2 linked regions of the Drosophila melanogaster genome follow. The protein of the gene in region 2 interacts with the protein of the main gene of each other region in a pairwise test. Each region holds a gene or a part of one and is shown on either strand. Other genes may lie near its edges.

The links. The genes of interacting proteins can lie anywhere in the genome.
Region 1: the proteins of CG16826 (region 2) and peng interact in a two-hybrid assay, tested with the Drosophila melanogaster proteins (one large-scale study listed by BioGRID).

What each region holds. Positions count from the first base shown.
Region 1 is NC_004354.4:21,347,700-21,351,459, reverse strand, and holds the start of peng (penguin), read left to right. Parts: upstream 1-1,616; 5' UTR 1,617-1,708; coding exon 1,709-2,154; intron 2,155-2,755; coding exon 2,756-3,458; intron 3,459-3,526; coding exon 3,527-3,760. Other genes in the region: sol (small optic lobes), read right to left, coding at 610-851.
Region 2 is NT_033779.5:13,346,113-13,349,548, forward strand, and holds CG16826 (uncharacterized protein), read left to right. Parts: upstream 1-1,660; 5' UTR 1,661-1,684; coding exon 1,685-2,710; 3' UTR 2,711-2,908; downstream 2,909-3,436.

The sequences.
Region 1 (3,760 bases), on a different chromosome or scaffold from region 2:
GCTAGACTTTTGAACTGTGTACTTGTACACACTGTACCTTTTCCTAGCCTTTCGAAACTTAAGTTCGTAATATAAAAATCTTTCAACTTATTCCTATACTCCCATTCGAGTTATTCCTATGGATAGTTAATCAGGATTTTCCTAACCGATTTCATTGTTTTCTTATTCTTTAAGTTTCATTATGCACAAAAGGGTTAGTGAGAACTATAAAATTTACTAAGATTTACTCGGTCTGCTCTTTGGATATTAAAGTTCAGCATAGGAGCTTACGTTGGTAAGCTTTTGGTATTATTATTCTTTGAAAGTTAAGGTTTTTGATTGACGAATTTTACCGATGAAAGTATGTACATATTTGTGTATTTGTATATTTTCCAAAGTGTGCATACAATGTGTGTGCGAAAAAAGTTGGATTTGAAAACGCCACCGATTTCTATACACATTACCATATGCGACATGATTTTAGCTAGCGCTTTTGTCCTCCAATTGGATGCCACCACTGGCGCCCACATACACACACACACACACGCATACAGACACAGACACACACAGGCACATCCTCGCAGAGGAGGCATACAGGCTGTTTGTTTTTGTGGCGACCGCTTCGCTTACCTGGCAACCGCCGCCCTGCCCTTCTCCTTGTCCCTCTCCTGCCCCTTCTCCGCCTGCTCCTGCTCCAGTGCATCATCAGCTGTCCAGGAGGCGGTGATGCTGCTGCTGCGATGCTGCTGCTGCTGTTGTTGGGGGAACACCTTGCGGACGGTGCCGCAATTGAAGCACTTGAGCGACTCCGTGGGATTGATAGTGTTACATTTGGTGCACGACCACTGCAGCACGGATGAGATGGTGCCCATTGCGCGGGGGAGTCGCAGGAGTTCCCAGATTCCTTTCGACTTCTGAGTTGTTTCTCTTGCTGTTGTTGTTTTTGTTGTTGTTGGCTGGCTGGCGGGGGAGTGGATGTGGAACTGGGACTGTCTATGGAAACTATGATGTGTAGGTGCGCTTTCGAGCTGGTGGCCGGGCGGAGATGGAGATCAATAGGAGGACCAGAACCCGGGACCAAAACGAGGACCAAGCAGTGGCTTCCAACAGTTGCACGCCGCGTTCTCCGTCGCCGTTTCACACCATTTTTTAACTGTTGCCGCTAGGGTTGTCGACGTTCGCGAACACCTCCAACGACAAGGTTGCCCGAGTGCGTGAACTCTGCCGGACAGGGTTGCCAGCGCGAGAAACACGGCTGCTACCCCGCAAAGCCAGTGTTGGCAAGTGCCGTTAATGAAAAATCGGTACCTTCAATTTTTAGACCAATTCTAATATGTTTTTGGGAATGAATACATACATATATTCATAAAACGACGCAAATACATGCATAAAATTATTTGACCTTCTATAACAAGTAATCAACATTGAGGAGCTTAGTTTAGGAAGAGTTTAAATTTAATATTTAGACATGGATTATTATTTTTTAGCCGCTTTCAAATGGAAAGTCAAATTGAACTGAACGCATTAACTTGAGTTAAATTTTAAACAAATAGAAGCACTTCATTGATACTTACTGTATGTGGAACGAAAATACCAGATTTTGGTATTTACACAGCTTGGGTATACTGCAACAATCTGGTCACTCTGCATCAGCAGCACGTGTAGTTCGCTTTTTTGGCAAAAACATTTGCTGTTATTTAGTTGTAGTGTCCAAGAAAACGCAGCAAAGATGGTTAGCTCGGAGCCGAAAGGACCTGCTAACGTGGCCAACACGGCCTCGCCCCTCAAGGCCCATGAATCGTCCGGCAAGCGCGCCAACGGACAGAAGTTTAAGCCCGGTGGAGCAGGAGGCGCCAGGAAGTTCGACAAATTCGGCGGAGGAGCAGGCAAGTCGTTTGTAAAGCCAGGCGCTGGTGGTGCCAAGAAGTTCGACAAGTCTGGGCCCGGTGGCTTCAAGAAGTTTGACAAATCCGGAGCCACCGGCGACAAGAGGCTTGGTGGCAACAAGTTCCGCGGAAAACCACAAACACAGCCACAGGCGCCGGCGGAGGGCGAGAAACAGGACTGGAACAAGTTCAAGAAGGAGAAGAAGGACCTCAAGCTGAAGCGCAAGAGTGCCAAGGACACCTACGAGATCAGCAAGGAGGCCAACCAGATCCACGAGAAGTTGCGATGGTGAGCATCCCCAAAAACACGATGAACAGCCCAAACAATCGGTTATTATCATCCTTAGCGCTCAAATTACCTATACAAATTATGATAGCTCAACAAAATCGGGCTCTTTCATGCACTTATGTACATTCAGAACGTACAAAGTTGTTTAAATTTCATAAGGCATCAATCTATACGATATAGTTTTAATAATTATAAGTCATTTTGGTTCCTTAAAGGACAAGATATCGATAAACATGGCCATGTGGATCCCAAAACGAAGCACCTGTTCGTGGAAAAACCGAACATTGCCACTTGGTTCGAATTCAAAAACACCAAACATTTTATTCATGTTCTTGAAACAATAATAGCTAGTTAAGCATTTTGATCAGTATCAAAACTAAGTTAATATAGCCTTGTATTTCTGTATAAATGTTGAGTTAGAACCAAGAGCGTAGATTCCAAAGACGCCTATTTAGCGCATGCTGTTTTGTTTGGTCATAAACAAACCAGCTCTATCCTCTGTCGCGTTTTTTTTTTTTTTCGTAAAATTACAACTAATGAATGCGCAAATCCTATTGCTCTGATATATATATATCAACATAATTTGGTGCTTGTCTTGCAGCCGCCGAACGGAGAACAAGGACAAGCTGGTGGAGCAGATATACAAGGTGCTCAACGTGGGCGACACTATTTCAAAGGTGGTGAAGGCCCACGACACCGCCCGCGTGATCCAGAGCATGCTAAAGTACGCGTCGCCAGCTCTGCGGGCCGAGATCTCTGAGAAGCTGCTTCCCTTCACCGTGGAGATGTGCCAGTCGAAATACGCCCAGTTCTGCGTGCAACGGATGCTCAAGTACGGTGCGCCAGCCACCAAAGCCAAGCTGGTGGACAGCCTGTACGGACATATAGTGCGTTTGGCCGGACACAGCATCGGCAGTGGGCTGCTGGATTCGATGTATCAGAGCGCCACACCCAATCAGCGCATCTATATGCGCCAGGAGTTCTACGGCGATCTGTACCGGAAGGCCAAGGATTCGAATGTGAAGACTCTGAGCGACACCTATAAGGAGGCCACGAACATGAAGGCCTCCATTTTGGGGTCGGTTAAAGCAAACCTGGATCATGTGGCCAACAAGCAGCTGGTGGACAGTGCGCTGGTGCACGCCGTGATGCTGGAGTACCTGCGCGCCTGCGACGAAGATGAGGAGAAGCTGGAGGAGACGGTCACTGCGTTTGCGGCTCTAGTGCCTCACATGCTGTCCACCAAGGAGGGCAGCGAGGCGGCTGTTATATGCTTCTACAAGTCGACGCCCAAGAATCGCAGAGTAAGTGGATCACGTATAACGTGTGTTGATGAAACAGAATCTTATATGTATTCTAACCCCTTCTTCAGGCCATTATCAAGAATATCAAGGAGCACCTGCTAAAGATCGCCAACCATGAGCACGGCCACGTGTTCCTCATCTCGCTGCTAAACGCACTGGACGACACTAAGGCGACCAAGAAGGCAATTTACGATCACCTACACGGAGATCTAAAGGCGCTAATGAGCAGCCCGTACGGCCGACGAGTGATTCAATGGCTGGTGGCTCCGGGTGATACGACATGCTTCCATCCAGAGTTCATT
Region 2 (3,436 bases):
GCACTCTTTTAAGTGCTCAAAGAATAGCTATTAAAAAAGGTACTAAGTTTAATAAAATACTTATCACGTGTAAGACAAATATATTCTATTAAGGTCAAGTGATATTTGTGATGTAATCCCACTTACATAAACTTTTTTGAGCTAGCATTTAAGCTCATGCTTCTCGAATTCCCCACATGAATTGCTTTTCTTAAATGGACCAGACTCTCCCACTCCACACCTGATGTCCTCTAAATGGAGCCGATGATGAGCGTGATCCGCCAAAGGCAAGTTACTGCCCATACGACCCGACCCGACCTCTTTCTTTAAACAGGTAATTGCAATTGCGACATCATTATCATATGCTAAACGGAACTGATTGCTATTGAAACGGTTTTGAGGTTTGAATTTCTTTTGAGCTGAAACATATTTCTAATTAAATTAATTAAGCGAAGCGAGAATATGGCAAGTATGCAAGCCAATTAGTGGAAAACGCAAAATTAAATGTCTGTGCATTGAGGAGACTGCAGCGGTGTGGAGTGGATGGGTGTAAAAATAGCTGGGAAAAATGGCAACCAGAAGAGTGCGGGATCGCTCCGCCAACCCATTGTCCTTGTCCATGGAGCACTTTGTTGGCCACTCCGGCTATAATTGCGTTGAGACATGTAAGCTTTTGTTTTGCAGTTAGGCGTGTGGCTGTGCGACAAAGTTAATGACAGCATAATTAAACAAAACTAACAGCAGACTAATAAAATGTTCATAGTGCATGTCGCTCAAGGCCTCGGCACATCACCACGCCATCACAACCCCATCACCTCGCCACCCACAATGCCAGCTACTTTCCATATCTCCAAATGTATATACATTTATACAATACATATACCTGGCGAGCATTTCATGTCGTTGTGTGTCAACGTTTGTCAAGCGACAATTAAAGTCATAATAAAGGCATGCTAAAGACAATTATTATGTGCACGTCCTGCCACGCCCCCCAAAAAGAACCACCCAGTTCGTTCGGTTAGTTATGCATAAAGTTCGCCACAAAAGGGTTTAACCTGAGCGTAAACATGCGCTCCTTTGTCTCGCAGGCATATAAATTTCAAAATTAAAGCAGAGTTTAACCTTTGTCCTTGTGCAAATGGCAGGGTGGGTCTATAACCACCTGCCTGCGATTGTGTGAGACCCGCATAAAGAGCCTTCGGTTTTAATGCACGCGAAATTGACTTATTTGATTTATTTTCATAGTTTAAGCCAAGGGCTTTTATTATAAGCATGCTTTAAGTGAGTGGATTTGAGAGGGGATTTTAAGAAAATGCAAGGCAAAAGTTATATTTATATTCGCGTTGTTAATTATTTATTGAGTACTGTATTTTGCGGTGATTAAAAAAATAACGTTGTGTTTGAATAAAGAAAATCATTGTCCTCATAACACTGAGAATGCATAAAATAATTTTTTTTTTAATTGCCCCCAAGTACAGTAAAACAAATGTGCACAGAGCTTTCTTCGAAAAGTTATCCAACCAGCATGCATTCCACTATTCGCTCATTATGGAAAGCGGCTGATTAAATATTAACTAATTTAATAAAATGCCGGCCTGCTTCAATATTGAAATAGTCAGCGAATGTATTTGCCCAAGCGCACGTAGCCGAGATATATAAAAGGTGGTCCAGGGTGCAGAATGATTAGGCTATCCGTTGACCGACGATGCATTCGACCAAGTCAGCCGTTCTCCTGCTCGCCCTGGCCATCAGCGCCAGCTGCGTTGTTGCCACACCGCATCCGGAATTCTTGGATGAAATCTTCGGCTCCATAAACCAAACTGGCCAGCACATCATCAGTGGATTCGTGAATGCCACCAGGAATGGCACGGCCATTGCTGGTGAGTTCCTGGACAGCATAAGGAACTCCTCCGCCCAGTACACGCACGAAACCCTGGAGTTTGCCCAAAAAATCGCAGATGCAGTTCATAGAGCCGCCACTGAGTCAATCGTCGACTTTTCCGCGACTCTGAGGGCGCAGATCGACGCACTGCATCAGGGGATTGATCGGGTGAGAAACATCCTGCAGCGAGAGGCACTTAAGGATGCTCTCGCCAGACTGCAGACCGTCAATACCGTCGTAAATGATCTGGAAGTGGCCGTGAATAACCTCAATGATCGGATAGACGAGAAGAAACAAGAGTATTTCGCCATAATCCAGAAGAAGTGGTACCAATGGTCTGACGCCCAATTGGAACGAGTGGATAAGCTGACGAATGGAGTTGGCAACGAGGAAGCCGAGGAGATCATAAATGAGCTACTCTCCCGGTATTCCGGATATCTGCACAGCTGCCTGGAGGAGTTGCAAGCGCAGCAAGCCACGTTTGAGCAAAATGTCCAAGAGGCCATCGAAAAGTACCACAATGCCACCAACGAACTGACGGACCAAGTCGAGCTCTGCGTCCAGTTCAACCTCAGCTTCCTGTCCTGCCGCAATGGCATCAATGAGGCACTACGCGGACTCGACTCGGCTCCCGCGGAGCTGCTCACCCTGAAGCTTCAAGGCATCCGACTACTGGCCATCGGCCTGAATGCCAGCGGATGTGTGGGCCAGACCCTGGCCGAGCACGAGCTGGAGAAGCCCAGCGTGGAGCGCAAGCTGGATGAGATCATTGCGGAGTACCAGGAGCAGCAGACTTCCACCGATGACGACTCTAGCTCTAATAATGAAACGACCACCATAAGTTCGTAGGATTTCGGGGAGTCATCCAGTAATGAATATGACAACTCCAGCAATGACGACGAATCCTCATGGAAATATTTACAAGAACGTATAGTGTATTTTAGGTGTCGGGTAGAAGCAGCAAAATAAATTACTCTAATGCAACTAAATTAGAAATTGTTTTCCTTCATCGTTTATCAATGATGTTTCTTAATAAACTATGCCAAGCTTCTCAAAATATTTCTTAACTTTGAACAGTACTTTAAAAATTACTCTACCGCAAACGTATTACCCAGATACCGATTAACTTCATCAATGGTGCAGCACATTTTTTGCGGATGCTAAAGCAATTATTTTAAAATTGTCATATTCATTTATTTAGGTAAGGCACGAAAGTCGTGGCAATTTAAAGACACGAGGCTTTAGTAGATTAATTATTTAAATGCATTCGATTCTGCCTTTATATGTAAATTAAATAAGGGTGCTAAATAATATAGAAAAAGGGAAAAAGAAACTAACTTGCACTCTTAGCACCTCCCCTACTAACAAATGATGCAAATGAACTGAGTGAATTCCCCTTAAAGGACTTCCCCAGCTGCTATAAATATAAATAGTTGTATAACAACAGTAACGAAAGGTATAACACTGAATTAACAATCTCAACTGCTATAAAAATGAACTTTTGTGCTTTTGTATAACAGTCAATTGAAGAGGACACGAAGCGCGTAGTACAGCGTTTATAAAGTTTTATGCTGT